Lytechinus pictus: one gene and its partners. The protein of the gene in region 3 binds, or shares a complex with, the protein of the main gene of each other region. Links are inferred from orthologs where the notes say so. Each region holds a gene or a part of one and is shown on either strand. Other genes may lie near its edges.

Region 1 (11,426 bases), on a different chromosome or scaffold from region 3:
TCAGAATTATTGATTTTAAGATAAAAATTCATGATTTTACAAAGATACAAGTTTACATTAATTTACCAGGGCCCCGTCTTACAAAGAGTTATGATCATTGATCCGATCAATCGCAACTATGGACGGTCAGCAACGTTAACATCTATTAAGCATGTTTGTTCAAAATATTTTCTAGCTATGATGTATGCTCATGCATTCATTGTTTTCTCAAAAATTCGCTGCGTTTCTCTTTGCATACAAAGGACATTGTGCAAATTTTTCGTAGAAAAAATTATGACACTGATGGATTTCCATAGAGTTATGATTGATCGGATCAATCGTAACTCTTTGTAAGACAGGGCCCAGATCTAGATTATGTACAATATTTTGACAATTAACCTTAATTTAAAAGACTTTCCGAAGAAATAATTGTTTGCTGCAACTACTGTCTTTTACCCCTGGCCCTAAGTGATAGTGTAATACAACCCAAACATTTCATAAGAATTAATGTACATGTATGATTCTTTCACCCAAATGCGAGCTTCCATAAATCCTGAAACTATTCCAACTCGGGTATTTTTTTTTTACATACAGTATATTTTTACCTACATTACATAGTTGTCTAAAGTTGAAGGTATATTTAATTACAATTTCAACGAAAAAGCTTTATTCTTGGAGATCATTATGCCTCTGTTATGTATTAATGTGTATTTATACATGTACAATTGTATGTATTGGTATAACAAACATTGTAATTTCATTCCTTTGACCCTAATACTGCATTTTCATAGAAAAGTGTTTTTTTTTTCAATCTATTTAGAGTTTTCAACATTTTGTATTCCTTTTTTTTTTGCCGGTAATATGTTATGCAACTTTTATTTATTAATAGAATATTTGCCACGATTTCGTAATTGAAATGCGTACATGTATTTGATTTTGTTTTCCATTTTTGTATATATTCTTTTTCGGGGGGGGGGGGGGGGTCATGTTCTTGAGACCGAGACAAGTTATGCAAGGCCCTGGCATGGAGGATCATTATATTGTTACTGGGAATGCTGGACATTGTCAGACCACCTCAGTATTCACCAAATATAGATAATCCTCAATGACAAGGTCTTTGAAGTGATGTGTGTATGTACATGTACATTGCATGCAGAATTTAATGTTTAGGTCATTATCACGTCAGAATACGTTAAGATATCATAGTTGACTCCAAAAGACGTCATATTCATTTCAATATGCGACATCAATATGACGTCTATTACTAGTCAGCAATATGTTGCAAAGTCGTCATTCAGACGTCGTAGTTGACTTATAAAGACGTCCTAATTACATCAATATGACGTCTGAAACTGGTCAGGAATACGTCGCAAAGTTGTCATTAAGACGTCGTAGATGACTTTTAAAGACGTCATAATTACATAAATATGACGTCTAAAACCGGTCAGGAACACGTCGCAAAGTTGTCATTAAGACGTCGTTGTTGACTCTCGAAGACGTCATAATCACGTCAATACACGACGTCAATCTGACCCTTGATACTGGTCAGGAAAACGTTGTAAAAACGTTGCTAAGACGTCATTAAGACGTCGTAGTCACTCTTGGAGACGTCATAATGACGTCAATATACGACGTCATAATGACGTTATTCGCGGGTGCAAGATCCCGTCAATAAGACGTCATGTTACGACGTCAAAATGACGTGACATTCGTCGTTAAACTGACGTAATTATGACGTCATTTTTACCAGTTTCTGCTATCAGGGTTAACAGCGTTGTTTAAATTATTTCAACAACAACTGTACATATGCCCTACGCACAGAGGCTACTTTTACAACTTAAACCATGTAAGCAAATTTTCTAATTGAAACATGATAAGAATTACACTTCATGACAATTATCCTCCTTTTTGGGAGAGACATTCTTTTCTTTATCATGTTTATGTCTTTCTTCCTTTTTGACAGATTTTTATACGGGTAAAAACAATTATTGCGAACCCAAAACGGGATGGTATTGTTATAGGTCTACATGTAATATAGACCTAAATAAATGGAACATTTTTATTTACTTTTTACAATATCATTAAAAAGGATTTAGCACGAAGCGCGAGCAGAAAATTTGTGATATTCTAATCTGAAAACTGATACTTTGAGGAAACTTACATGACATTCAATTGCAAAAGAACTTGAGATGACAAAGAGCTAAAATCATATATTGTGTCCGGCTGATATGTCAAACTGTGTTTCAATTACCCGAATTCCAAAATTGTATGCTTTTCGTATTTTAAATATGTATAATGTATTTATTTTAATCAATTCTATGTACTTGTTTTTCTTTGTTTTTGTTTTTTGCTTCAAGGGGCCCTTTTGATATAAGCTTTTGCTAAAAGGCCACAGCGGCGTAACAGGGGTCGGTGGCCGGGGAACAGGCGTAATGGTGTAATGAGGCCCCGAATGAGGCGACTATTTTGAGACGGCCAGATAATGAGATATTCCGTATCGGGCAGAATTTATCTTTTAAAAAAAAGTTGCGAGCGAGCGAGCAAAAATTTTGACCTTTTTAATACAAAAATCAAATTTAGTGATAGATTTTGACATGATATCCAGAGAATAATATATTTCACTCTTCTCTCTTTGGATTCCTTTTTTGTGGTCTGTACGCCACTGTGTGAAAATCACCTTTTTATGAAAATCTAACTTTGAGCTATTTTTTTGACATTATATTCAGTAAATAAAATCATATCCTACACTTTTCCTTTGCTTTTCTTTCCTCCATTATTTTTGGTTCTTGTTTGAAGAACTTCTTGGGGCCATGGCCCAACCCTTCCATACGCATGCAGTGCTGTGCGGTTGGGGTCGATCCGGGGCGGAGCCCCCGGAACTTCTTGATATCAAAGCCATTTAAACCTCGCAGATTGCCGCTAGTTTAATCAAATCGCGGGCATATACAGAATATAGCTTTTACACAACACATTTACTCAACCCAGTTGCGTAATGAACCAAATATTTTGAGGGGGTAAAACATAGCAATGTGGGAAAATTTGTAAAAAGTCGCCAGCGTGCAAAGCGAGCTGGAAAAAAAATGCCTACTGAAATTAAATTCTAATTATGTGATAGATTTTTCCATTATATTCAACAAATAACACATTTCATTGTTCTATTCATTTAATTATACGTTATATAATTTCTTTTATTTCCACTAGGGTGTGGAACCAAGACCCCCCGCCTGTATGCCAGTGATTGAACGTGATTGAACGGGGGGGGGGGCGTTATAGAGCCATTTGAAGGTTATAAATGAAGAGCCCCTACTGCGTGGGGTCTGGGACAGAGCCCCGGTAGCTTATTTGCATAAAATTTAGCAAGCTTATAGCACAATGTTGTATGCAGTCCATCTTTCTTCCCGCTCTTTCAGGGGCGGATCAAGCCTTCGCCAATAGGGGGGGCCCAGATTTTTTTTCCGGCCATATTTTCCCTGATCGGCCGCTCGAAGATGATTTTTGGTTTCTTTGAAGGGGGTAGTCCTAATAGACACTTCTTAGTTTTATTCATATAAATCAACATACTGTATATAATATCCGAGCGCGAAGCGCGAGCTATTTTTTTGGGGAAATTTAATGTATTTTTCCTAAAATTTGAACATTCTGGGCAATGTTTGTTATCCTGGAAAAGATGTATATGCAATCAAATAAATACTACGAACGCGAAGCGCGAGCAGAAATGAACTGATGGAAAAGGTACCTGTTAAAGACTGCTGCAATTAGCCATGAAGATGTTAAATACTTTAAAAATCAAATAATGCGAGCGCGAAGCGCGAGCTGAAATTTTTTGGACATTTTTACCTACAGAATGGAAATTCTTTGCACTTTTGTAACTTAAACAGAATAGGTATATAACTAAACAATTGATGCGAGCGCGAAGCGCGAGCGGAAAATTCCGAGACCTACTGAACGAGACACTCGATCTATTCATGTTTTGTAAATCATGAAAAGGATGAGTAATTGGGGATCTTCCTTACATTAATAATGCAAGCGCAAAGTGCGAGCAGAAAGTTTTTATATGTATACATTTTAAAGTGATCGAAAAGGTACCTGTTATGGACTGCTTGCACTTAGCCATGAAGACGTTACATATTTCAACAATCAAATAGTGCGAGCGCGAAGCGCGAGCTGAAACATTTTGACATTTCTACATAATATATAATAATATATTTATAAATGATATGCCTAATGTATTGAAACACTCCAAAATAGTTATGTACGCAGACGATACATCTATTTATGCCGAAGGTGATAGTTTAGCTGAAATACAAAATAAATTACAATTGGATTTAGAAAATATAGCCTGCTGGTTAGAAGATAACCGTATGATGATGAATTATGAAAAAAAAAATGTATGATTATTGGTACACGTGTTCGACTTGCAAACTCTATTTATTCCAATGAATCTCAGTTAAAAATAATTTGTAATGGTCACCAGATCATACAAGTCCAATCCTTTGAATGTTTAGGTATACTTATTGATAATGAATTATCATGGAAAGAACATGTATCTAAAGTAGCCAATAACGTTAGCAGGAAGTTGGGTATCCTACGAAGGTTAAAAGGTTGTGTCAATGAAAATACTTTACCCACTCTATATAATGCTATGATTTTGCCAATTCTAGATTATTGTTGTATTGTCTGTGGGGATAAATTCAAAGAAGATACCGAAAGATTAAATAAATTACAGAAAAGAGCTGCAAGGATTATTTTAAATGCCCATTTCTTGACCCCTTCGGAAAATTTATTTGCCCTCTTAGATTGGAAAAGATTTGAAGATAGAGTTCGTATTTTCAGATTTATTTTAATGTTCAAATGTATGAAAAGTATTGCTCCCACATGTCTGTCCAAACTATTTACTTTTAGAAAAGAAATTCACTCACACTGTACAAGAAGTTCCTCACAAAATAAGTTACACTTCCCCAAATGTCATATTGAATCATTCAAACACTCATTTCATTATCAAGCCGTCTCATTATGGAATAGTCTTCAACCTGAATCTCAAAACATAAATTCCCTCTCAATTTTTAAGAAATATTTAAAAGATAACCTTTAAATCCAGTTGCAGCTTTTTTCCAATAGTAGATATCTCCGATGTCAATTTCGACTATTATGATCTATGTACAGACCCTTCTTTCTAATGATGTGCGTAGTTAATAGTTATTTATAGTTTCGTTTATATTTGACTTCAACTATTATGTTCTATCATAATGTATGTACATTTTCTCATGTTAATTTTACTGTGTATAACAAGATATATTGTGATTGTTTTTTTAATATGCAGAACCCCAAGGGAGAGCAATTTTTATGTTGGTTGGGTATCCTGTTGAAATATTGTTAATAAATAAATAAATAAAGAATGGAAAATTTTAATTTTTGTAATCGTGAACAGGATAGCTATATAACTAAACAATTCATGCGAGAGCGAAGCGCGAGCGGAAAAATCGAGATTTAGACCTAAAAACAGGACATTCTCCTTCTATTCATGTTTTGTAAATCATGAAAAGAATGAGTAATAAGGGATTTTCCTACCTTGATAATGCGAGCACAAAGCGCGAGCAGAAAATTTTTGATATCGTGATCTGAAACTGGATAATGATTTAAATATATTAAACTATTTGATATTCCGACTGAAAAAAAGTCAATTTTTGCTCTATTTTTCAAGCACTTTGTAAGAAAATTGTGAGGTGGATATAGATCGCACTTAATATAGATCTAATATGTTCCATTATTATTACTTTGAGTTTTGACATATAGGATCGGGACATCCTTAGGACATGTCATCATATGAAAATGATGACTATCTTCATATTCCTCTTGCTAAGCGCGAGATAAAAGGGACAATTTAATTTCTAAATTAATATCTTACTCATTAATGCCTAATGAGGGCACGAAATTTGATGATATTATGGCCTGAAAACTCGACATTTCAAGCACTTTTGTAATCATAAATAGGATGCATCAGTTAATGTATTTTTAACCATTAATGCGAGCGCAAATCGCGAGCCATTTTTTTTGATAAACTGTCATTAAATGGGGATTTTAAGTAGTTTGTTGTATAATCAAATATTGAGACATATACATAACTCTCCAATCAAAATGCGAGCGCAGCGCTAGCTGATACGTTTTGACAATCAGACCTGAAAAGGGATATTTTGAAAACTGGCCGGAATACACGAAAATAATAGGTACCTGATAAATCAAAATTTGCGAGTGTGCAGCGCGAGCAGATAATGTTAATATTCAGACCATAAAACTGAAATTTTTACAATGCACATTTTAAAAATCAATTTGTAAATCACACAAAATAATGAAAGTTCGATTTCCGAGGTGAAATATGTTGTGTATATTGAATTCCAAACTTGATATTTGAACTCCATATTGAACAAGATATGAAAATCACCTAACAGGCAATGCGAGCGCGAAGCGCGAGCGAAAATTTTATATAGTGACATGAAAGATTCTTTTTATTTTTCAAGTCTTTCCCTCATCTTATTTTATTAACTCGTCTTCCTCCTCTTCTTTTTTCTCCTCTCTTTTCCCTCCCTTTTTTCTTTCTGTCCTTTTCTTCTTTTTTGCTCCGCCAATAGGGGGGGGGGGGGGGGGCGGGCCCCTCGGCCCCCCCCCCCCTGGATCCGCCTATGCGCTCTTTAATTTCAATCATCGGCAGCCCGGTCATGTTATTATTTTTTTTCTTGTCCCTTTTCTTTGTTTTCCATTAGCTTTTGACTAATAACATTACCTTCATTTCCCGCTATTGTTTGCCATTTTGTCATCTTTTAATTCATTGCCCACCGTGCTATTGCATTACATAGGCCTATTTCGGAATGATTTGTTCTTTCTCAAATGTTCTTCTTTGATTTTCTTTCGTACATTTTCCTGCTTTTTCTGATTTTCTTCGTTTTCTTTTCACTTTTCCCTTTCCCTTTCCTCCTTTCCTTTTCCCCTTTCCTTCCCCTTTTCCTTTCTTTCTTTCTCCCTCCTTTTTTTCTTTTTCCCGTTTTTCTTTTCTTTTCCCGGTGAAATCCGCCAGGGGGGGCAGCTTGCCCCCGCGGCCCCCCCGCCTGTTACGCCACTGTTTACGGAATGATTTTGTATTATACCTGTATTTTCTTAATTAGAATTTTTTCTTCCCTGAATTTCATATTATTTTGATCTGATCTGTTCCTTGATTATTATCTTTTAACAGTCTCGTCAGGATGTTTAATTTTGTTTGCAAAACACAAGAAAATGTGTAATTTGTCAAGGAGGGAGTAATTAATGCTTTTTTTTTTGCTTACTCGAGGACATCGCACAATCAGTGTATCGTTCAATTTTCATGTGCTATGTTTTTTTGTTTGCACCAACCCAAAATCTACTGTCGGTTTTCTTCCCTTTTATTGCTCATTAAATCGAAATGCCGCCGACAATACAGAGTGGAGAAAGAAAGGACAGAGATCGGAAGTATGTATATTAGTTATTTTTACTAATTGATTATGCAAAGTTACAAACCATGGCCAAGTATTCTGGCCTGCGCCAAGGCCCTCAAGTTTTGCTCAAATCGGCCAACGCAACGGCCACGCTATCGCGCCCGCGCCACGGCCTACCGTACAGCTAGTACAGGTACGTAGGTACCTACCGTATACCGTACGGCGGGCCGGATCCCAGGACTCGTCCGTGTAATCCATTGCTCCACACTAACCCTTTTTTTCTACTGGTCCAACCTATTCATGTCGGACCAGGGCAGTAGATACCCAGTTTTTCCATTATTTACTGGTCCCAAAAAATTAAAACATTAATTAAGAAAAGGTGCAAGTTTATTTTGCTGCCCTTTCCTGTTACTCCCCCCCCCAAAAAAAAAAATGAAGGAATGAAAGACAGAACAGAAACAAACAAGCAAAGAAAGAGAGAATAATTAAAAGAAAGGAAGAAAAAAAGAAAAGGTAAAGAAAGCGAAAGGATAGATGTGAAGAAAGGAAAGAACTAAAGACAGTAAAGGAAGGAAAGAAAGAGCAAAAATAAAGAAAGAACGAAAGAAAAAAGGAAGAAAGGAAAGAAATGAAGCAAGCAATAAAGAAAGAAAGAATAAAAGACAGAAAGTAATGAAGGAAAGAAGCAATACAAAAAGAAAGGGTAAAATGAGAGGAAGGAAGGAAAAATAAACGAAGGATTGAAAGAAGGAAGAAAGAAATTAAGGAAGAAATAAAGTAAAGGTAAAATGAGAGATAGGAAAAAAGAATGAAGGAAAAAAGGAAGCAAACAAGCAATATAAAAAAGGTAAAAAATAGATGAAAGGAAGAAAAAAAGACCAAAAGACAAAGAAAGGAAGGAATGAAGGAAAGAAGAAAGGAAGCAAGCAGTAAAAAAGAAAGAAAAGGTAAAAGGAAAGATGGAAAAAAGAAAGAAAGAACAAAAGACAAAGGATGGAATGAATGAAAGAGAGAGAAAGGGCTTAAAGAAGGAAGATATAAAGAACAAGAAAGGGTAAAGAAAGGATGGATGGAAGAAAGAGAGTAAAAAAGAATGAAGGAAAGAAAGGGTAAAAAGAAGGAAGGAAAGAAAGAAAGAAGATATAAATATAGGATGGATGGACTCAAGAATTAAAGAAAGAAAGAAATCAAAAAGAAAGAAAGAGAAAAATATTTTTTTAAAGGACAGAAAGAATGAAAGAACAAAAGACAAAGAAAAAAGGAAAATTAAAAAAGAAAGACATTAATAAAAAAATGAAAGAATAGAGGGAAGAAACGAAGAGAGATTGAAAAGAAAGGAGGAAAGAAAGATAGTAAGAAAACTGAGGAAGAAAGCTAAAACTATCATAAATAAATTATCACTTTCTTTTTTGCTCAATTAAAATATAGCTATGCCTATGACGGAAGAAACCGAGTGTATCAACACACACACAAATGCATATGTGGGGCTATCATGTATTCAGACGATATCACTCGAAACCCGATCTGTTTGAACTAAAACAGAAGTGAAAATTTCTCCTTTTACTGCTTACAAATGACAGAGTTACCCCAATTTTTAGGAAATATGGACATTATAAGAGCTTTTCATTAGTGTGAATGTGAATTTTGACAGTTCTGTGAGAGATTTCTGCCAGACGTTAGCCAAGCTTCATTCGTGCAGCCCAGTAGAAAATTTACCATGTGGGCTGTGTGGCTGGCTGTACATGTGCACTAAACTGTATAATACTAGATACTAGTCCCCTTGTAAAAATTGCATGCAATTCATTCTGTGTGTATATTGTGTGTGAATGACAGAAATTAACGGGAGGAAAATGGTTTGCAATTTGAGTCATGGAATATTTTTTATGTTAATGTTGGACCAGTGAATATGACCATTTCTGGAAAAGTTACTGGCTAAACAATGGTTTTTATTCCTGGTCATGTCGGAGCCATAAATCTTGCTTTTTTTTGAAAAATTACTGGCCCGACAATGAGTTTTTTACTGGTCATGTCGGACCAGTAAATCTGGCTATTTCTGAAAATCTACAGGCCCGACAGCGATTTTTACCAGTCTGGGACCGTCGGACAAGTGCTAGTGTCGAGCCCTGGTAATACGGACATTTAATAGACAGGAATAACCGTCGTTTCTGAGGATTTATTTAATAATTTCTGATAATGTTGTAAATCGGATAAAACATCAGATCAAAAATCGGATTGGCAGTTAAGCTTCGAAAATCGAATCGGCGATGTCTAAAAACAAAGGAAAACATCAAAATTTTATTTGCGGTCGCGCGCATATTCCTGACAAAGTCACAAAGACGAATGCATTGGAATGGAAGTCGCCAACATGCGCGATCGTTTGGAACATGTTTTAAAGGGGTTTTGAGGTGTTACTGCTATAAATAAACCAAGTGATTTTTATTCGAAAGTTAAACGAAAGACGCATCTTCCCAGCAAAGTTGCAAAGGAAAATAAAATGAAAATAATTATCATAGATCACAGGTTAATGAACGATCGGCGGGACATCTTTTATAAGTATATTTTTTAGGTGCTAGCGATTTAAAATTATTTGAAATGATCTCTTGATCTCGTACGACGCATCATCTTAAAGTCGCAAGTGCAATTAAAATGTAGAAGAATTCGCAAGCACGCGCGATGATTCGGAACATGTTGTTAAAATGTTTTGGGGAGCTAGCGTTTTCAAATCAATTTATTACTATCTTGAGAAATTAACTTTTGATATCCAAGAAGAAATATAAAAGAAGCATCTCCCGACGAAGTAATTGAGGATGAATAGAAGATGTCTATCATCATAAAGGAGGTAAGAGAGTAGCGCAGTGATGTCCATCAGTAATACGACCTGTGAAAGTTCACGGTGGCGTCCGCTATCACCACGAGGTTGAAGAGAAGATGTATATCATTATAAACGATGTAAGAGAGTAACGCAATGAGCTCCGTCAGTAGTACGATCTTTAAAAGTTCACGGCGGCGTCCGCTATCACCACGAGGTTGAAGAGAAGATGTCTATCATCATGAACGATGTAAGAGAGAAGCGCAGTGATCTCCGTCAGTAATGCGACCTTTAAAAGTTCACGGCGGCGTCCGCTATCACCACGCGGTTGAAGAGAAGATGTCTATCATCATGAACGTGTAAGAGAGTAGCGCAATGAGCTCCGTCAGTAATACGACCTTTAAAATTTCACGGCGGCGTCTGCTATCACCACGAGGTTGAAGAGAAGATATATATCCTCGTAAACATCGTCAGAGATAATACCGCGTCTTTCTTTCTGATTAATGCGACCTCTAAATAGCCAGCACCTCAAGAAAAAATCTTGAAATATGTTCTGAACGATCACGCACTGTAACTAGATCTACGCCGATTTTTTATATCCAATTTTTGTCTCACCTGCATGGCAGAGTGAGACTATAGGCGACGGCGGCGGCGACGTCAACACCAAATCTTAAGCTATGGTTAAGTTTTTGAAATGTCATCATAACTTTGAAAATATATGGACCTAGTTCATGAAACTTGGACAAAGGTTAATCAAGTATCACTGAACATCCTGCTTGAGTTTCACGTCACATGACCAAGGTCAAAGGTCATTTAGGGTCAATGAACTTTGGCCAAATTGGGGGTATCTGTTGAATTACCATCATAACTTTGAAAGTTTATGGATCTGATTCATGAAACTTGGACATAAGAGTAATCAAGTATCGCTGAACATCCTGTGCAAGTTTCAGGTCACATGATTAAGGTCAAAGGTCATTTAAGGTCAATGAACTTTGGCCAAGTTGGGGGTATTTGTTGAATTACCATCATAACTTTGAAAGTTTATTGGTCTAGTTCATAAAACTTGGACATAAGAGTAATCAAGTATCACTGAACATCCTGTGCGCATTTCAGGTCACATGACCAAGGTCAAAGGTCAATGAACTTTGGCCATAATGGGGGTATCTGTTGAATTACCATCATAACTTTGAAAG
Region 2 (11,218 bases), on a different chromosome or scaffold from region 3:
CGAAAAAGGAAAATCAAAGAATAAGAACAAAGAAAGTTTGAGAAAAATCAGACAAATAACGAGAAAGTTATGAGCATTTGAATATTGCAATCACTAATGTTATGGAGATCCTCCCATTGGCAATGCGACAAGGATGTGTAATGTCACATGTGAACAACTTTCCCTCAGATGGACTATAAAATACCCCAAAAATGTCTCTTTTTGCTTGTTCTTATGGTGATACAAACTCTTTATCCATAATGTATTCTTTATAAATCTGTATTACATGCCCTCCTATAGAAAGAACACTTCTACTGATAGATGTGATATAAGAGGCAGTTTAAGTGAAATATATACTAAAGTAATGGGGAGAGTTGTTCACAAGTGACATCACACATCTTTGTCGCATTGCCAATGTGAGGATCACCATAGCATTAGTGATCGCAATATTCAAATGCTCTTATTTTCTCAAACTTTGGTTGATCTGTTTCTTTGATTTTTCTGTTTTCACACAAGCTATCTTGATCCAAAGGTTTCATTCTCCTTTAATGAATGCATGAAAATTGCTTCTAAAGCATTGTTCAGGCAAGGCACTGTATTGCCATGACATAGCAACAACTTTTTAGAGTTCAAGGGTGTCAGACAAGATGTTTGTCTTGATATAAACAAGCAGAGACGAAGCAATCAAGTCATAATTACGAGTGTTCTCTAAAAGTAAAAAAAAAAAAATCACTTTCAGGTTCTGAGACAAACATGCCACAACTAATAGAGTCGAGACCTTTGCTTTGACTTTGTTGGTACCTCCATAACTAATATACCCAATAATTTTCAATAAAAATGAAAGAACACTTCCCCAGGAAAGTAACTAAAATTACCAGATATACATGTAGTTACCCCCTTTGCAAGTACCTCAAAACGATAAAACTACAAGAAAATCCATGCCTCTTTTTTTTTGAGGGGGGGTGGGGAGCAAAATTGCAAAAGTAAAATGCAAGGAGAGAATAATAATGAAAATAAAAATGCACTCAAATTTTAAGGTGTGATTTCATGGCTTGCTCTTATTTAGAAAAAATATAGATCTACTTATTACAACAAAATCTGAATTGGTGAGAGTTCCTATTGTGACAGCAACCCAAATTGAAAAAAATATATTATATTATCAAGTTAAGTTAATTTGCTTTATAAAAAAGACAGAATATTAATTACCTGAAGTGTCTCTGAATCATCAACAAGTAGAAAGCCCTTAGCATGGTTAGGATCAACAAGATCAATCTCATCTTCAGCAGCTTCCATGTCAGCAAGCTCATTCACTGGTGCTGGTGGTGGTGGTGATGGAGTCTTCTTTTGGCTCTCCACTTGTTTCTCTCTGGGTGATGACGGTACAGCCTTCACACTCCCGACAGGTTTCACAATCGCTTCCATCCTCTTCCGGCCTCCAGAACTCTCCAAACTGTGCGACAATGGTTGGCCCTGAGTAGGGGTCCACTCCCCGGAGCCAGAATTGGACCTGAAGAACTCGGAATGCCTTGGGCTTGGAGACAAAGTCTGGTCCAGATATGGTTGGTTGCTTTGAATGTCCTCTGTTTTGGGGTGAGTGCCTTGGGGATTCCCTGTTGATGTCACAACTCTCTCCCCATGATCACCATGCACCGCTCCTGCACCATGTTTGTTTACATTCCTACCACTTCCGGGTTTGCCGTGAGCCCGTGTTGTTCTGTGAGTCACTGTCATGCCACCACCTGCACTTCTGTTTACATTGCTCTCTGGAGCCTTGGGTATGGCTATTGCATTCGATTGTGCAATAGAGGGTTTCTCCACGCTCTCAAAGTGTCCCGAGAGAAATTCCAATGATTTAAGTCCACTCTGGCCACTGCTTACACTTTCCAAAGACAAAAAATCATCTCTTTCTATATCGTTGTCATCTGGAGTAGATAGCGAAGGTTTCTTATCCAGCATTGTCAAACTGTGGAAATCCGAGTCCAACGTTAACTCATCAATAAGGTTTAATCCTGTCGAAGAAGATGAAATATCCCCGGTTAAGATTGTAGTTTGCCTCTCCTTGATTTCACATGGCGTTGGCTCACTTAAAGAATCGAGAAATGGAGAAAGAGGCAGACAGTTTTCTGGCGAAGATTTTGATGGATTCATCTCGCTCGTCGGGCTTTGTTGCGTCGTATCACTGTAAACCACCTCTTTGTTCTGTTTTTGTTTTGTACGTAGCGGAGTGCGTCGATGTCCAGTTAACTTCCCTCGATGATATTCCTTATTACAGTCTTGGCAAATTACAGTTCTACACTCCAAGCAGGAAAATTCTGCAGGGTTATATGGGCACAGGGCACATTCAACAGCGCAAGGAAGTTGCTCAATTTTTCGTCTAATGTGACTTGCAAATTTTGGTCTCTCTGGTTTGTGCAGAAGTTGCTCACAATGTTCGCACTGTCTTGTTCCGCAATTCAAGCATTCGTAGCTAGCATTCGATCCGTCGCAATCAAATTTCTCCTCACAAACCCGTTTAGATTTGTATTTTACAGGTTGATGGGTTTTAGATCGACTTGCCATCTCGAACTCTCAGGCTGCAAACGAGAATGGTATACATGTTTCGTGTGAAAATGAATCATAACACAACACATGCAATGAATATGTTAATCACACAATGCAAAGCCAAAGGTTACAATGGAGCTACAATGCACACTAAATGTCGTCGCGATCGCCTGCGCCAGGCCAGCTGATTTGCGTGCATGTCGATCGATCCCGCGCCAGCGAGCAATCGTGTGTGCGAATTCAAGGCAAGAGCTAGCTAGCTATATAGCCTATATAGGAACTTGATAATGGCTATAGTGATTGCAAATTAAACTGGGCCTAGACCGGGGGCCTAGATGCCTATCACTACACAGTAAAATTTTTCTTAAAAATTGTCTGCAACACTGGTTAATATATTAATTTTAAAGCAGTTGTTTTACAGTGTAAACAAGTGTTTGCAATCTTTTAAACAGATCATTTTTATGTTTATTTTTAACTGTTAGACAGCTGATTAAAAAACATATAGTAGGCCTAATCAGCGTACGTTGTAAACTTCTATAAAAATTGAAATAGCGTTTTTACTGCATGTGTTTAGACCTATTTGTGAGGGTTATGAGGTTATTATGCATATTTCATCATGAAGGTATTTAAAAAATGTAGGGGCCTACAGTGTACATTTATTACGAACTCAATCTTTAGTTTTTGTGTGTAAATTTTTAGTTAAAGGCCAAGTCCACTCCAAAAAAAATGTTGATTTGAATCAATAAAAAAAATCAGACAAGCATAATGCTGAAAATTTCATCAAAATCGGATATAAAATAAGAAAGTTATGACATTTCAAAGTTTCGCTTATTTTTCACAAAATAGTTTATATATGCACAATAAGTTTAGTCACATGTAAATGAGAGTTGATGATGTCCCCCCCCCCCCCCCAGGGGCGGAAAACTCTCCCAAAAGGTAGGGGGGACAAGGAGCTGGAAAATTTGACAAGCAAAAAAAAAAAAAGATTACCATCCCAAAAGTAAGGTCATATAGTCCTAAGATACATGTTTTATTTCGATTTTGAATGATGTATTTCTTACCATCATAAAAGACCACAAAATAATAGTAGGGGGACATTTGATATTGTGTCCCCACTACTATTTTGAGTAGGGGGGACACGTCCCCCCTGTGATTTCCGCCCATGTCCCCCCTCTCACTATTTTTTTGGTTTTTATTGTTTGAATTATACAACATTTCAATTTTTACAGATTTGACAAGGACCAACTTGACTTAACCATAAAATGTTTATCAATGGTAATTCAACATGTTCAGGGAGCAATAAAACATCAGTTCCCTCATTTGCATACCGACCGGGAAGTGCATATAATAGTTTTGCGAAATTAAGCGAAACTTTGAATTGTCATAACTTTCTTATTTCAAATCCGACTTTGATGAAATTTTCAGTGTTATGCTTGTTGGATTTTTCTCTTTTTATTCAAATCAATCTTTTGTTGGAATGGACTTGTCCTTTAATGACACTAGAAAGTTTAGAAAGTTTTATAGAGGCTTGCCTTTTATACAAGCTTTAATTTGCCTTTTCCGGTAAGCCCACCGTTTTACTCTAAAATACAAAATCATCTGAGTTTGCTTAATTTTTTTTAATTTAGTTTATCAAAGCATAATTTTTTTTTATTTTTTACTTGTCATGTTTATTGATTTTGTACAACATTCCGATGAAACAGATATGAAACTAAATAAAAACTCCAAAAAAGTTGTTTAAACATTTAGACAAGTACAAATTCTTAAACAACAAAGTTTAAATTCAAATATTTAATTATCAATAATTTAAGCAAGGTTGTTTGAAATTTTAAACACTTGTTTAAACTGTTTAAACAACTACTGTGCGATTCACATATTTGTTTAAATTATGATTTCGGAAAGTCAGCCAATGCAGACAGAGGGAGTTTTGCACCCATCCACTGTAAGTGGGGCACAGTTCCAATGAACATAATTAAGTTGTGCAGGGGTACGTGCAGCCAGATCGAAAGCTCAATTTTGCACCACCAGATCCGGGGGGGGGGGGGGCACTTACATTGACGAATTCAATTCAATTCTTTATTCCATTTCCATTCAAAACATAATACAAAGTAATATAAAGTAATACAAATGAAATACAATTTTACAGACGAGTATTCTTACTTCGTAAAAAAAAAAAAAACAGTATAATATTGAGCATAAATGGAAATGAGGGGGGTCCACTAAAAAGCAAAGCTTGTAAAGTGTGGATCCCCACGGAAATGAAGAAAATATAATCGACTTATTCATTTATGCGTTTATATACAGGAAAGAAAAAAGAGAAGGAACAAATAGGTCGAAATCATATTGATCTAAACATAATTACAGAACAAGTGCAAAGCTATTCACACAAAGAGGTCTTCGCTGCGAAGTGAAGTGTCTCGTGGGGTAGTTATGATAAAATTAATTTTTTGTGAACATATGGCATCAAAAATATGGGGAAGTGCATGAATAGATACCATGCGCGACTATAAAACACGTAAAAGGGGTGTCTTTTTCAAGATAGGGCACGTTACAAAGTTACGTAACGTAATAAGGGTGGCAAAAACACAAAAATAATTTTAAAAAAAACTGTTATATAAAGGATTTACTTTTTTCCCCAACCGCTACACTAGGCTAACGTTGTGTGTTTAGAGTACGATTGCGCGGTGTGTGGCGGTGTGTGGGAGGTGGGGTCATAAACCCAATGATGTAGGTAAAGGTAAAACCGACGTCATAATAATCAAAATATCGTTGTACTTGTTTGGGGGTTCAATTCAGGAAATACTTGCCAAGATATCGTTTTGTTTCCAATACTTGTTAAGGGTAGGGATTTACACGCCAAATTAAGGCCTGGTGCATTTTCAAAATAAGGCTTTTATTTCGAGACCCGGACATGGTGGCGCATGGTATCCATGCACTCGTCAATGGAAGCTAGTGCCCCCCCCCCCCCGGCACCAGATTGATATCCTGTTAGGCTAGGCCAGGTATAAACTTACAGGCCTTTTGAAAGCAGTTTATTTTAATTCATGCTATATGGACGGAGTGCCGCAGCAGGGATCGAGCCTGTATGAGCTGTGTTGCGTTGAGCCTTTTGTCGCTTTGCTGGCCGCAAGAGCCTATATCAATGAGTCGTGTTTCTTATGTACCAAAATTAATGTAAAGGTCACTATATTTTGCAAAGGGAATCTATTTTTCTTCGGTCGCTAAATGGCTCGTTTGTTAATTCAATGATAATCAAATCAGTGTCTTGTGCAGTCAAGTTCTTCCGGGCTTTATAATAGAAATAATTTATTTCATTTTTTTCCGCCCCCACCCCCTCCCCCAGCCGTTGTTGTAATCAAGTAGGCCCTATAGCCTTCTTTTGGTTTCTCATCACCACGGCATCGATTTCCTTATAGGCTTTATCTTCCATGTTAATAGACAACAAAAAAATCGGATATCAATGAGTGCATGATGGGGAAATAAAACTATGGCCTATATATATATATACTTCCAATTATCTTGGCCATTCGTGACTATAGTAAGGAATTAGTCATTTCACGTCAAGCCTTTATTTTTGGAGAAAAACAACACTTCTTTAATTCATAACGTTGACCAAGCGCGATTGCGTGTAATAAAAGACCTTCAGCCTTATGCTATATAGGAAAAAGTATTAATTTGCATTCATGGTGCAAACAGCGGGAGGGGGGTGATTTCTCGCCACCGCGCGCCCCCGCCCCTATAAGAAGATCGAGGTAATCAGGAGATTCTGTGGTTCCCGCAGGAGAGAAAAAATGAGGAGCAATAACTGATGGCGCATCGGACATTTTTTTAAAATCAAGAGCGAGAGAAGCGAGCAAACCATGAGAAAATATTTTTTTATGGTGACGTATAATGGCCTGGGCGTAATCTAAAAAAGTTGAAAAAAATGTTTCGCATTTTCTCTCTTTTTTTTCTTGGTCGCGGAACCCCACCCCACACCATCTAAAGATCTACGCCAGTGCTTTGGAATCACCCCCCCCCCCCCATTCTCAGTCAGCCGGAGTAATTATGCCAAATGTTCAGAATCACGATTTGCTTATATGAAAGTACCATACAATATTTGTCATTTATTTTCGTGTGCTTGTTTCGTGCGTGTGCACATTGGTTAGTAATGGTACCGTTTTAAAACTTATCAGCTAAAATCGCAACGATACGCGGCCATGTACGTCTAGCTAGCCTACATGATGTACGTACGTATTGCACGCGTGTGCGTGCGTTTAGCAAAAAAGTAAAACAAGAAAAAAAGGGAACTCATCTCAGTCGTGGTCTCTCTCTACAAAATGCCCTAAAAAGCAAGAACTTCATCGATTTGAGTCCCGATTCTACCCATTAAAGTGAAAGACCCAAGCGCCATGTCGAAACGTAAGAAACCAAGCAGAGCAGTGATAAATTCAGACAGTTCTGCATCGGAAAATGAATCGGATCTGGAAGAGGTAATTTCTCCATTCACTTTACACACAGACAGACATGACACTGACACAGATAGATAGTTGCACATTTATTTGCACTGCATGCAGTGCAGTATGCAGTGAGTGTGTGTTTCTGAGAATATTAAGTTTAGCTGAGACTGAGTAAGTGAGTGTTTGAATTTTGATGTCACTAAATTTCAGGAATATAGGAATGGAACTGCAAGAAAATTTGCTGACGGGTTGCTTCTGGCATTTTCTTAGCTTGTTTTGCACAGAAAACAATCGCAAAAACTTAAGTTAAATTCGTTGAGCAAAATCAGTTTGTCATCAGGCAGACATTGAAATAATTAATGGCATGGCATGGGCCATGACCCATCCATGACCATGCACATGTTGGTCGTAAATAATATGCAGTCTTTGGATTCTCTGCCAAGAGTGAGACTGAGAGTGAGAGTGAATGTTTGCACATTAATAATATTGCTTGATTTTTTTCTTCTTTGACGTAGGTCTATGATTAAGTAGACACGACGGCAATCAATTAAGGTGGCTGGTGGGGGCATCACCATCAGCAATTTTTTCTTGCAATTTCTAAAAAAAAAAACCTTTTTGTGTTAAAACTGTAATACAAATGAACTTTATGAAGCTACCTTGTTCATTCCCATGGTGATGGGTATTATTTGTAATATTACTGTCAGATAATATAGTTGTGATATATGTCTACACATATATGTGATATTATGCAGTGATGCAATCATCAGATTGCAAGATTTTTAATTGTAACCCAGTTAATAGCTAAAAATAATGCATGATTGGTGTATTTACCTAGCCTTGAGGACTCCATGATGATATTTAAAAATATTTTTACATAGATATACTTTTCATCACGAAGCCTTGAAACCCTCCCCCATACTTGCCTATTAAAGCGGCACATGTAAACACAGATGGATTTTTCCCTATATAGATAAATAAAATCCAACAAATTTACGTGATTTCTAGCTTTAAAGGTCAAGTCCACCTCAGAAAAATGTTGATTTGAATTGATAGAGAAAAATCAGACAAGCATAATGCTGAAAATTTCATCAAAATCGGATGTAAAATAAGAAAGTCATGACATTTTAAAGTTTCGGTTATTTTTCACTAAGTAGTTGCATGCACAATTTAGTCACATGCAAATGAGAGAATCGATGATGTCACTCACTATTTCTTTTGTTTTTTATTGTTTGAATTATACAATATTTCAAATTTACAGATTTGACAATAAGGACCAACTTGACTGAACCATAAAATGTTAGACAATGGTAATTCCACATTTCCAGGGAGAAATAAAACTTTGTTCCACAGGACAATGCGGAGAAAATTAGAATATTTTGTATTTCATGTCATGAAATACAAAAGAAATAGTGAGTGAGTGACGTCATCAGTTCCCTCATTTGCATACCAACCGGTATGTGCATATAACTGTTTTGTGAAATTAAGCGAAACTTAAAAATATCATAACTTTCTTATTTTACATCCGATTTTGATGAAATTGTCAGCGTTATGCTAGTTGGATTTTTCTCTTTTTATTCTATTCATTGTTTTGTTGGGGTGGACTTGTCCTTTAATTATGGATTTCCTAGGGAAATCCATCCGTGTTTACATGTCCCGCTTAGGCAAGTATGGGGAGGGTTTCAAGGCTTCATGATGTAAAAGTGTATTTAAAAATACCATCACTGAGTCCTCAAGGCTAGTATTTTTCCAGTTTCATGACATTTGCTCTGGTGACAATTGCTCCAATTGAAAATCTACGCATTAAGCCAAACATAAAATGTAACCTCCAAAACTAAATAAACCCTATTTCTGAACTAAAAACTTCAAAATTCTGATTTGAACTTTACAGAGCTTTTCTTCCTTTCATCCCACTATTGATAAGCTTGTTTTCTTATTTTATTGCCGTTGCCAGGAACTGCTTACTTTAGCCAAAAGGAAAAAGGTGGAGCCAGAGTCGGCCAAGGAATCAACTTCGCAAAAGAGCAATTCTGAGTCTGAGACATCAGAAAGTGATGATGATGTGAGTATAGTTTCTCTTTGAATTTTAGCACTTATGTGCATAGCACTTTTTTGCAAATATTATTTCTTGATTACATTCCTTTTCTTCTTTCAATTAAGTATAGGCCTATATGTGCACTATTGATAGAAATATAGAATATGAATTGTCTCAAACACCTTTCAATATGTAGCCTTGCATTCTGGGGGCCGTTTCATAAAGCTGTTCGTAAGTTAAGAGCGACTTTAAGAACGACTGGTGATCCTTTCTTACGCGCTAAACCATCGCCGATGAATATACCATTTACCACAAGAAAGGATCACCAGTCGTCCTTAAAGTCGCTCTTAACTTATGAACAGCTTTATGAAACACCCACCAGGTATAGTTTCTGTAATATTTTTAAATTATGAAATAAAATGATGGATGGACTTTGTGCACTTCATCTGTGCTTGGCAGCCAGTGATGCTTTGACTCATCTTTTTTTCAAATTCATAAAATGAAGCACATTACATAAAAGAACAAAATGCCTGGTTGCTTGTGTATCTAGGACTAAGTAAGTGAATAATATCTAGATGTAATTAAAACATACATGAAATGATTTTCTCACATAGAAATAATGGTGAGTTATTTCACTATTGTGTTTTAATTTTAATGGATTAACATTCTTCACTAGAACATTTTTTTCATGGATAAATATATATGTAAATCTATGTCATCATCATGTTACAAGGTGAGGTAATCCTGTTGACCTCGATCTCTTCATCTGAAATTACAGTCATCCATCTCCATACGATGTGTTATTCTACAAGAGCAAAAACTTGCACACGTGGAGGGCAGAGACGGTTTTGATCATTGGAGATTGAAACGCTCAGACTACCAAAACTTATCGAGTCTTTAATAATTTGAATACATGGATGGAGCCTGAGTCAATAACTTCTTGGGGGAGGCTATTCCAGTCATTCACTACCCGGTTACTAAAAACGCATTTGCGTATCTCGAGTCTAGATCGTTCTTTGATTTTTGTTCTTTGGATAGGAATTGATCAGCTTTGATATTTTTCCTATTTTTGTATTCAGTGGACATTGGGTGGCAACAAAAAGAAATCCAGGATCAAGAAGAACCCAAAGAAGAAGGTGGCTCGGTCAGCATCTGATGGATCTGGGGTCATCAGTGACTCTGACAAGTCTTCACTTGAAGAAGGTACAGTGCATTAGGAATATTCTCACTGCCCTCCCTCCCGAGTTATGTCAAACCCTTCTTAATTACATTGTAGTCTTTCAATACCTTTAAATTGATTCCAAGGTGATGTTTCATTAAAATTTGAGTAAGATGCTTTTATGTACATTCTTAATGAATGGCGATCCAACTCATCTTGAGCGACAATAGCTCCAGTTCTGATTTTTTTTAATAGAAAGATATGGTGTTGTGTAAGTATTGCATTACATGTGTTGTTAGGGTCGAAGTTGAAATTTAGGTTAGCCTTATGAGCAGATATTTGTGTTCTGTTTGAGCCTTTATATCTTGGTGGGCATGTAAGGGGGCTTTAAATACATGTAGTATACTTTTTATGAAGCCCATAATTTGTTGACACATGAATAATAACATGGAACCTACATCATGAAGAGCAAGCATTCTTGGAGTGATTGATGCACTTAAAAAAAATGTTTTTACAAAACTCCCATCTGATATGTTCACTTCTCAGGAGAAGTGTCTGATTCCGAGAGTGACGATTCCGATTCTGGTTCTGATGATGAGAAGTTCTTTGATGGGTACGATGAGAACTTCATCGGGGATGAGGAGGATAGGGCGATGCTGGAGAAGATGACAGAGAAGGAAAGAGAACAAGTCATCTACAACAGATCAGAGAAGAGAGATGCCCTAAGGACAAGGTCAGTTTAAAGAGGAGCTTGTGTTCTGGGAAATGTGAAGAACGTTTTGAGAGCTCGCTCCCTCTTCCCTCCTCATTTAAATACTGAATAAAATTCTGCTGAAAAGAATTGTAAGGTTCAGGGGTCATTATGGTAATAAATGCTGAGGATAAGAGAATATTTCCATTTCATAACCTTCAAACAGGATACATTTTGTAAGCAGTTGTTTTGTCATTTCATTTTGAATGGGATGATTATGCCAGCCCAGTGAATTCACATAAATTTGACAATCCTTAAACCAAGAATTTCAAGTCCTTCATCAGTCACCGATAAACGCACTTATTCATACTATTTGG
Region 3 (11,283 bases):
ACATTTAGTTTGAACATTGCTACGGCGTATAGTACATTTGGAGAAGGGGTCTCGGGAGTCATGGACTCCAAAGCTTTCACAGCCAAGAAAAAAATGGAAAAAAGGGGGAAAAGAAAAGTAGTAAAGGGGTGAAATATATCACTTTTGGAATATATTACTGGTATGTTAAAATCTATCGCAAAATCAGATATTTGTATTGAAGAGATCACAAATTTTGCTCGCTCGTTTCGCTCACTCTTAGCTTTTTAAAAACTTCATACGCCAATTTCGCCCCTCAAAATTTTGACTCTTTTGAATTTCAATGATTTGAAATAAATCCAAAATTTGTAAAAATACAATTAGGATTTATTTTTAAACGCAACGATTAACTTTTAAATCTCATAAGATTAAAATGAAAAAAAAAAACTGAGTGGTACCCAGGGAGAAATTGTACTCTAACGAAGAAATCTGATTTCTTTCTAAGAAAGGAGCTTCGCAAATTGCACATTGTCAATTTAGAAACAAAAAAGGTTGCCCTTTCATTGTTTAGGTATGTTCTATATAATTAATATAAATTTAGACTCAAATAAAGATATCAATTCAAATCATTTAAATTCTTTATGTGTTTTGGTTTATGATAAAATAACTCGTAATGTGCAGTTTTAGTGAATGTTAATTATGATTTAACAAATATTGTCACAAGTGTACAATTTTTTTCATTGGTTATTGCCTGTTCTTTATAATCGATTATAATGGGAATTTTTTTAAATGGCTCTATTTATTTGCGAACAGTGATAATAATACAATCCAAAATCCGGTACGGTAGAAGTCTGCAGAATTTTATCTGTCACAAGTTCTGTTTATTTTGCATATACACATGCAGTCATAGTGATAATTTCTCGCATTTTTTTTTTCAAATTCACGAAGGCGTGACATGTCTTGACAAAGTTTGTATTGTATTAATCCAGCTGCTGCAGTATAGGCCTACATATTACACTATGTTTGAACATTGCTACGGCGTATACAGATGGGACGGGGTTTGGAGGCCATGTCCACGAACCCCAAACATTTTACGGTCAAGAATAAACGGAGAAGAAAGGAGAGAAAAGGAAAAGGGGTGGAATGTATTATTTCCTGGGTATTATACTGGTATTTTAAAACATATCACAAAATAAGATTTTTGTATTAGAGAGGTAAAAAAATTGCTCACTCGCTTCGCTCACTAGCAGCGAGCTGTTTAGAAGCCTCCATACGCCAAGTCTCGCCCCTCATTTATTTTTAGGAAAGGAGCTTAGCAAGTTGGCTCCTTGAATTTCAACGATTTAAAATAAATCCAAAACGGCTGTGAAACAGTGACTATCAGACTATTCAAATTTGGAAACGATTATGGGCGATTCCACAACTTCAAAATATCATAAATTTCAACATGCTTTCAATAAGTCATAAGTAGTGTAATATTTTACTATGATACCTAAATTTTATGAAAAATGTGAGTTTTAGCCAAAAGTGAAGTCAGATTAAAAAAAATTGAGGGGGGGGGCAATGGAATTTTCAATTTTCAATATTTTTACTGATTAAATAGTCAAGAACAAACACTGCCTGAAACCATTATTGGCAGAGCACAAGAAGATTGAAAATATTGCAGGTCAAAGGAATAATGTATCATTGATGGTTCCAACTAATATCTACAACATTTTCGTGATCCTTTAAAGGTGCAGCCCCGATTTTCCGAACCTACTTTGGCAATGTCCCGTACGACTCATGAAAATGCAAAAGTTGTTTCTACTCTTTTGTTTTTGATGATACAATCTTACGATATCAGTTTCTCTATCTTTGACCCATGGGTGATTGATTTATCCTATATAAGGATCTAATTGCTGCCCTTCATTCTATTTGTCCTCATACGACACATAATTCTATTGCATTTCATTGCAGGATTTGGATTCAGAAACTATAAACAGTAGACCTATTTGAATTTAAGTAATTAGTATGACATTAGGTTAAGTGAATAGGTTTTTTTTTTTTTATCTCAAGAGAACATGAAATTCTGTAAATCTGCAGGCGTAATAATCATGTAATATATCGTAGTTGTCTTTAAAATGTCCCCCGTCCCGGGTATATGTCCTACCTTGCTTTGAAAAAAAACCCGGTACTTCCAAGTCATACCGACCCAGAGCATCTTCATTACGACGATGGTTGCATAGGTGGCGAAAAGACGGAATATTTCATTTTCGAATGAATACAAAGGCGATGTCATTATTTCAGAAATCAGAATTAATTAAACGATCAAGGAGTAAAAGACGGCACAGTTGGTATACATGTAAAAATTAAAATTTGATTTTTGTCTCACCTGCATAGCAGAGTGAGACTATAGGCGCCGCTTTTCCGACGGCGACGGCGGCGGCGGCGACGGCGGCGGCGGCGTCAACACCAAATCTTAACCTGAGGTTAAGTTTTTGAAATGACAGCATAACTTAGAAAGTATATGGACCTAGTTCATGAAACTTGGCCATAAGGTTAATCAAGTATTACTGAACATCCTGCCTGAGTTTCATGTCACATGACCAAGGTCAAAGGTCATTTAGGGTCAATGAACTTAGACCATGTTGGGGGAATCAACACCAAATCTTAACCTAAGGTTAAGTTTTTGAAATGACAGCATAACTTAGAAAGTATATGGACCTAGTTCATGAAACTTATACATAAGGTTAATCAAGTATCACTGAACATCCTGCATGAGTTTCACATCACATGACCAAGGTCAAAGGTCATTTAGGGTCAATGAACTTTGGCCGAATTGGGGGTATCTGTTGAATTACCATCATAACTTTGAAAGTTTATGGATCTGATTCATGAAACTTGGACATAATAGTAATCAAGTATTACTAAACATCCTGTGCAAGTTTCAGGTCACATGATCAAGGTCAAAGGTCATTTAGGGTCAATGAACTTTGGCCAAATTGGGGTATTTGTTGAATTACAGCCATAAATTTGAAAGTGTGTTGGTCTAGTTCATAAAACTTGGACATAATAGTAATCAAGTATCACTGAACATCCTGTGCGAGTTTCAGGTCACATGATCAAGGTCAAAGGTCATGTAAGGTCAAAGAACTTTGGCCACGTTGGGGGTATTTGTTGAATTGCCATCATATCTCTATAAGTGTATTGGTCTAGTTCATAAAACGTGGAAATAAGAGTAACCAAGTATCACTGAACATCTTGTGCGAGTTATAGTAGTTTTCAAAATCAGCACTGCTGCTATATTGAATCGCGTGATGCAGGTGAGACGGCCAGAGGCATTCCACTTGTTGTATTATTAGAGAGGTAAAAAATTGGTCGCTGGCTTCGCTCACTCGCTGCTGTTTAGAAAGCCTCCATACGCCTAGTCTTGCCCCTCAAACTTTTGGCTCCTTTGAATTTCAATGATATAAAATAAGTCCAGAACGGCTGATTTCAGATTTTGTTGGATTGCATGATTTCAGATTTTGTTGGATTGCACCTGCACATGTTCAGTGGGGTACCGGTCTCCAGATACTCTCTGGCATGTCGGAAGTGGGTGGGTTAATTTGTGCCCGTTTCTATTTCTATTACTGCTCTTGTATTGTACATATGTTTATTATCATCATGTTTGATTCTTGTTACCTTTGTATTTTTTTCTTATGCCTATTATTGCCATTGTTGTAAGTTGTTATATTTCTTCTATGCCCCCAGGAGGGGCCGTCAAAGAAATAAAATCATTGTCATTGTCATTGTCATTGTCATTGTCATTGTCATTGGCTGTGAAGCAATGACCATTTTGGCAATTGCGACATAAATTCTGTATTAATGTAATACATCTGATTGTAATATGGACCACCTGTCGGTGATTTCTGATTCGCGTTATAGACGAAGTTCTTTGTCTGTATTTAACCGTCCAAATACCCAAAGGGGGTAGATTTTTTGTAATATATAATAAATAGTAGTTGTTTATTCTAGTTATTTACATAAATTTGTACTCGAGTACAAAATGAGTTCGATTTGTTAATATAAATTTGTACTCAAATAAAGAACCAATTCCACTAATTTACATTTTAAGTCTGTTTTTTTTTGTTAACCGTAATGAAAAAGAACTCGGTTTTTTTCGTGAATGTTGATAATATGATATTGTCATAAGTGTACAATTTATTTCCTTGGTAATTCCCTCCTCTTTATAATCGATTATGATGGGGAAATTATTTCCACGTCTCTAGTTTATATACTGATACAATCCAAATTCGGGTTACGTGATAAAATTGTTATCCGCAGACTTTATATATTTTCTAAATTCAAAGTAATAAAGTTGAGACTGATTGCAATTGCTATCAGGAAGGCATCATCATCATCTTCATCACCATTACGATGAGGATGATGATGATGAGCAATATTTTTTTTTACCTCTTTAATGAAGAGAAGACCTAATTGTCTGATTTCTTTGCATAACATCAGTATTCAGAAATTAATACATTTCACCCCTTTCCTTCTTTTCTTTTCCTTGTCTCCATATTTTCTTGGCCGTGAAAATTTGGGGTCAATGGCCCCAAGACCCCCCCCCCCCATCTGTATACGCCGTATCAATTGCAAAATAAAAGTTAGTAGTAGGTTTACTGCTAGATCTCTCACTTTCCCACACTTTTATCATATTACCGGATTTTGCATATAGAAACATTATTTTTAATAATTTCTTCCTCATAATCGATTGTGAAGAGGTTGCGATTGAAACAGGGACGTCACGTCCCTGATTTAAACAATGTGAAAATGTACACTTATTTCATTTCATTTCGTTTATTTCCATTTTCAACAATTAAAGTTTGTTTTGTATATTTTTACATATAAATAACAAAAACATATTTCAAGTATCCCTGTACAAAAATTATATTCAAGATTATTGGAAATGGAGGTGGCTGCTAAAAGGCGGAGCTTGTAGAGTGCAGCCTCCTAATAAATATTCTTGTAGTTACATAGCATATAAAATATTCTTACATTAATATTCGTTATAAATAATAATGAACATTCGATAAAACTACAATCAACCTTTTTTAACTATAAAAAAAAATGGATGTAAATATTTCGAATTTATTTTATATTTGACTACAAATTTAATAAATATTTTATTAGACAATAATAAGAAGCTACTTTCAATAATATGTATACGGACGGGCAATAGACCGACGGACGCCGAAAGTCTCTTTTGGAGGACCAATGTCAGATGTTCTAAACTGAGCAAATGAAAAATTACAAGTTCATCATATTCGTTTGAAATTTCATTGTTGTTATTATCAAATGGCAATTGCAAGCTAAGTCATTATATTCACATTCTATGCGTTTTGCTGAGTGCCGCTTTAGTCATAGATTTTTAATCATTTTTTTTTCAATTGATCTTTTGCAACTTGATGAGCTCCGTCCGTTAAAAGACAAGATTTCCCCCATTGTATTACATTTTTCTTCTTATCTCCTCCTGACCTCGGCATATATGGTGTGAATTATATTTTCGAGTGACAAATTTTCCGATGACATAGTTTTATAAGTGTATCCCGACACATCCACCTGCTTTCTTGGTTGTTACACCTTGTTCGATCAATGTACATATTGCATTTACATTCATTGTTTTATTACTGTTGATTTGTATATATCATATCTGAAATTGGATTGTAAATCGGAAGACAATAAATGTTTGATGGAATTTTTAGGCACGTTGCGTGATGCCTCGTTCTAAAGCTACAGTTTGTTTCCAAAATAATCGATTATGACATTGGATTCCAAAGGTAGGCCTACCCCTTGAATTGAATGAAATTGAATTATTATGTTGTGCTCAGAAGGGGGCAAGTCTGATAATTTGTATCCCGGAATTTGGGTACAAAATTCATGGAGAGATGTCCCCATATCATCACTCATTATCATTATCATCACCACCACCACTGCATACACACTGGCATCATTAATTCTCTCCAGGCCCAGCATCACCATCATCATCACCACCACCACCATCATGCCACCATCTCCAATTCTTCATTATCATCGTCATTAGGTAGGGCCTGTTGGCACCCGCCTGCATCTAGTCTGCAGGTACAGACCCTGATTGAAACTTTGATCAGCAAATGTGTCTCCACGCAAAGACTAGCACCACATACAAAACTTGCTGTTTCAATCCTGAGAGGCCAGTACACAAGGCATGTGTAGGCTGCATATTCAGACCCTTAACTCGAGTGAATGGTTTGCACAGCATGGAGCTGCTTTAAATAATATCGGTCGAATTCAAAGTTTGCGAGTTTGTGCATGGCTGGGCGACACACTTGGAGTTTTGGGCGATTTGTTTTACGTGCCTGAATTTATTGTGACGAGGTACGTTTGAGGAAAGAAAGGTTGGGGAGGCTGAGACGGCGACATGGCTGACGTTTTAAGTTTACTTCGTGTTTATCACTCTCAGAATAAGGTTATAACGGAAAGAAACGATGATGTTATTTTCGGAGAATTTTCATGGCCCAAAGACACAAAAACTAACTACGTTACCTATGGGTAAGTTAACGGCTTTTCCTCCTTTCTGCTCTGCAAATTGGAACAACACGGTTGGTAACACAGCGCGCTGCAGTGTGAAACAACTGCCCTTAATTGCCTTGCCCTTGCATATGATTATGAATGCATATGCCACATGATTTTTATTTTTTAAATTAAAAGTAATGCATGTTTGTACGGCATTATCGTGGTTTATGTCACCAGTCCATTCACTGCCGTTTATTTCGTCAGCGGTGGTGACATCTTTCCACTCCTAATCCTATTGACTTTGTACACAACGAGCGCACATGCACATAGCCAGGCGGCTTCTAGAGTAGGTACGCTACTCTAGCGCGAGAGGGCGCGATTTTCGCGTCATCATTTTCGCGTACGAAAATGGCGACAAGCTGCTTCGGGAGCGGGTGCGAGCAATAACTGCAAGCCCTATTTGAGTCTCCTGTCTAGGATGGTAAACGTATATCAATGGGAATGAAAACGATGACATCATCTTCCCAATGCATTCAGCTATACTGCACGGTTAGCTCTTGCGACGGAGGATCGAGATCGGAACAAAAATTGCACTAAAACAGTCTGTAAGTACAGTTTATGCATCAAATCATCATTATATGTTATTTTCATGGAATTATCAGACATATTACGCTAAAAATACATATGCTACTCGAAAATTGAAGTCGTAAGCTTTCATTTCTTACCTCATTCATGGCAGCATTTCTTGCCACCATTTGCCACGGCCGAACGTTAAACGCCCTTGCTATTTGTTTCGTGGGATTTTTTTTTAAGTTTGGCGACGCGTTTCGCGGGCTAATTCATGGCGGCTGCTAGGGTTTTTGGTTGCCCGCGGTGTGTAGTCCTGCGCATTGGAATTTGTGTAGCAGACCGTCTATCGTGATATGTCTGGTATTTCTTTGATTAAAAAAAACTTTTTCTTTTTTATAAATTAGGAATTGAAAACCAGACACAAATGTAGAAATCAGAAATATATCCCACACTGACACACATTCATTTTGATTGAATAAAATATTGAAAAAAAATGGCAAATGACGCAACAACTTTCTGAATCTTCTCGAAGTACCTAACGTTAATTTTAGCCTTTACTTTAGGTAATTTACTTTAAGTTTAGTCTTGATTTATTATTTGATGATTATGTTCTGTTGAAAATTCATGTAACATGATTTCTTTTGGCCTAATCAAACTTTACATTTTTATTATTTAAAAAATGAATGGCCTAGATCTAATTTAATTCATTATCATTTTAATTTTCTTTTGTTTTCATATTTTATTTTCATTCAGATTAATTTCTTATCTCCATTTGAGCATGGCAATACTTACTGATCTGAAGTCGAGGGGCCCAACAATGAACAGACTTGGGCTGAGCCGTCGAATATCTGTGGTTCCAAGAAAGCGTGATGGAAATGCCGCCTTAAAAAAACCAACCCCACCTCTGCCTCTGGGCTTTGTTCTTGGCGATCCTGCATTCCATTCAGACTGCAACTTTAAGCAGGAATTGTTCTACCAACTACTTAATTATTCACAAATGTGAATTGCAGCTTTTAAATTGACAAGAAAGAAACAATTGATTTATCTCACCCCCCCCCCCCCAACTGTCTTCTAACATTTTCTATCATCCCAAACTAACACTTTTTTTTTCTTGTATGTCTGTTTAAATATTTTTATTTAGACTTTATGTAATTTTTTCATGATTTATTTAAGAAGTATGAGCAAAAAAAACAAAACAATTTGGCACATGCAGTAGAGAAGAGAAGGAACATAGTGTTAAAAAAGGATACACATACAGATCTGAATATTAAAATAAATTTAAAAAAGAAATGACAAATCCACACTGACACATGAAAGTATTCATTTTATTTTTTTCCTTATTGGCATTGGTTACATTAATTAACTCCACATAAAAATATAAATTGAATATGTTAACAGTATTAATGAAGTTGCTCAATAAAATTTAAAATTAGGTATTCTCATTGGAGGTAATGGTTGATACAGATGGGTGGGTGGACCTGCAGCCACTAGCGTACCTATGGGGGGGGGGGCAGACTGCCCCCCCCCCCCGACGAGTCACAACCAATGTAAGGGACATATCCCTGCCCCCCCCTGATGAGCCACCGGTGGCCCCCTCCTTTGAAGTTTAAGACCTTTTTTTTGCTTGTAATTTTTTTTCTGGTACGAAATCCTTTATTTGTGGTTGAAGACTTTTTTGCTTGTCAAATTTTTGGGCGGACGATTTTGCCCCCCCCCCCCTGTGGAAAATCCTAGGTACGCTACTGCCTGCAGCTCTATTGTTTTATTAGATTTTCATTTTTTTATTGCTGGGGGGGGGGGGGTATTATGTAGAGATGAAGCCAAATGATCTTATGAGGCAAGATTCAATGTACAGCTCAATATGATGCATGTAAAGTGATTTATTAAACTTTTGAAATATCAATTAAGAACTGGAATGATGAATGATATGAATATAAGAAATATATTAAATGCATGTACAGTGATTTATTAAACTTTTGAAATATCAATTAAGAACTGGAATGATGAATGTAATGAATATAAGAAATCTATTATATGCTAGTTCATCACAACTTTAGCTGGATCTTGCTGCAGAAAGTGCATCGTGTAGTTCTACAAATATCTCGGGTGAGAGGCAGTTTGGCAGAGCGGATGCAATGCTTCATAGGGCCTCTAACATTTCTGTGGTAAGGTCGAATCCAAACTGATGTTTTCATCGAATGATACAGCCTCCTGGCTACAAAAATTTCCTGTAGATGAAAGAGAAAACAAAATAATGAATGCAATGAAATTGGGGAAAAATGTGAGGCTAGAGGAGCAAAAACAAAAGCAAATGGTTGTAAAGTTAGTACAGGAGAGGAACAAAATGAGAAGAAAGGAACTCACAGAAAAGGAAACAAAACAGAGAGACAAACTTGAGACTAGCTCCTTTAAAAAAAGTTCTGTATGGTGTACTATGGATCTGTAAAAATATTTTAAAATTATGTAAAGTTTCAAGGATTGAGCATGCATAGGAAATCACGTAAAGGCAAGGATATCAAGTCACGAATAAAAACAAAAAATGAGGGGGGGGGATGGGAATTGCATCAACCCCCCCCCCCCCACCCTACCTCTCCAAAAAAAAAAAACGACTTTAATAACTTGTCAAAACTGTATCTAGTATCAGCTTATGTTATTATCCTTTTTAATGTTATTGTTAGGGATCGAGAGAAAGGATGAACGCGGGGGGGAGGGGGGTGTGCATTTTTCGGTTTCATACTTTCAAGCATCAGTGTACTGAAGGGGAAAATGTAACATAGGACTACACAAAATTGCGGTGGACAGACAAGAAACAAGAAATGATGATTAAAATGAAAGAAAAAATTCTCGATCTCAAAACAACTTGAAAAAAGAAAGATGCAAAACCAAATGTTATCAACTCACTTACATATTATATTTGAAATCCATCCCAATGGTCTTCCATGTCGTAATTGTGCACTGTAATTCAGATAATCTAGTTAAAACATGTGAAATTAACTTCAAGTCTCAAATTAATTGTCTTGCAAAACAACAAAATACTCCGATATATGCGTATCATGAACGTACATGCATATTTATGAGCGCCGCGAAAATGACCAATCTCATTCACAAATGATGCGCACTTACGCTTCGTCACCATGCCGCGAGAAGCGTTTATGCGCGATGTAAAATCTCCGCCCCGAATTGGCAATCCCCGAATGCGCATGCGCGGTGGTGATTGATACTCGATGGTCGACAATTCGTTCGGAATGGATAATACTTAGAAATCATTTTTTTAAAAAATCATAACTTGAGTTATTCTTCATCATATGTCATAATCAATGCATCATCGTAATGGGTGACACATTTTCTTTATGTTGAGGTAAGTTTCAACAGATTTGGATGAAGATTTGAATTATCAGTGGCGTACCTATTCTAGAGAGTAAAAATCAATGATTTACTAACGTAAGGTCACTCTCATACGAAGCCAGGGCTTCCGTCATATACTTTTGCGTGTACCACCAAAAAACCTGAAACTTTCGCCCCCGAGATTTCTACTTTCTTTCTAAAAGATCTAGCCCTAAATCATGTACGCCTACATGGGATAAAACTTCATTTCCGACATTTCTACGCTCTCGTTATTTTTTAACAAGAATTCATCAAAAAAATGAGAGAAATATTGTGTAAAGACGGAAGAGACTTGCCCGATGTTTACGCTGCCATCTTGTTTTCTATTGTTCTTCCCCAACGTTACCCGACGCACACGTCTGTAACGTTGGCGAAGAACAATACTAAATAGGAAACAAGATGGCGGCGTAAACATCGGGCAAGTCTCTTCCGTCTTTACACAATATTTCTCTCATTTTTTTGATGAATTCTTGTTCAAAAATAACAACGAGAGCATAGAAATGTTGGAAATGAAGTTTTATCCCATGTACATGATTAGGGCTAGATCTTTTAGAAACAAAGTAGAAATCTCGGGGGCGAAAGTTTCAGGTTTTTTGGTGGTACACGCAAAAGTATATGACGGAAGCCCTGGCTTCGTATGAGAGTGACCTTACGTTAGTAAATGATTTTTACTCTCTAGAAGCCGCCTGGCTACATGCACACCGACACACTCGAGAAGAGAGGTGACAAATTTCACGATAAGGCCGTTTGTACTTATTTTGCAGTTTATGTTCTTCTCTATTTGACAAGAGGATGTTTTTTTTTTAATTATTCCATGTATATCATGCAAATTAGCGCATAATTAAAATTGGGTAT

Evidence for each region.
Region 1: parafibromin-like (region 3) and RNA polymerase II-associated factor 1 homolog share a complex: the UniProt entries of both Caenorhabditis elegans proteins name them as parts of the PAF1 complex. The link is inferred for Lytechinus pictus from reciprocal best matches to the Caenorhabditis elegans genes cdc-73 and pafo-1.
Region 2: parafibromin-like (region 3) and RNA polymerase-associated protein RTF1 homolog share a complex: the UniProt entries of both Caenorhabditis elegans proteins name them as parts of the PAF1 complex. The link is inferred for Lytechinus pictus from reciprocal best matches to the Caenorhabditis elegans genes cdc-73 and rtfo-1.

What each region holds. Positions count from the first base shown.
Region 1 is NC_087251.1:47,769,200-47,780,625, reverse strand, and holds the start of RNA polymerase II-associated factor 1 homolog, read left to right. Parts: upstream 1-7,289; 5' UTR 7,290-7,411; coding exon 7,412-7,458; intron 7,459-11,426. UniProt on the Caenorhabditis elegans protein: Component of the PAF1 complex which is a multifunctional complex involved in transcription initiation via genetic interactions with TATA-binding proteins, elongation and transcription-coupled histone modification.
Region 2 is NC_087251.1:44,619,519-44,630,736, reverse strand, and holds the start of RNA polymerase-associated protein RTF1 homolog, read left to right. Parts: upstream 1-5,664; 5' UTR 5,665-6,911; coding exon 6,912-6,992; intron 6,993-8,910; coding exon 8,911-9,018; intron 9,019-10,070; coding exon 10,071-10,194; intron 10,195-10,696; coding exon 10,697-10,883; intron 10,884-11,218. Other genes in the region: zinc finger FYVE domain-containing protein 1-like, read right to left, coding at 1,186-2,538. UniProt on the Caenorhabditis elegans protein: Component of the PAF1 complex which is a multifunctional complex involved in transcription initiation via genetic interactions with TATA-binding proteins, elongation and transcription-coupled histone modification.
Region 3 is NC_087259.1:23,516,220-23,527,502, forward strand, and holds the start of parafibromin-like, read left to right. Parts: upstream 1-6,311; 5' UTR 6,312-6,379; coding exon 6,380-6,510; intron 6,511-11,283. UniProt on the Caenorhabditis elegans protein: Component of the PAF1 complex which is a multifunctional complex involved in transcription initiation via genetic interactions with TATA-binding proteins, elongation and transcription-coupled histone modification.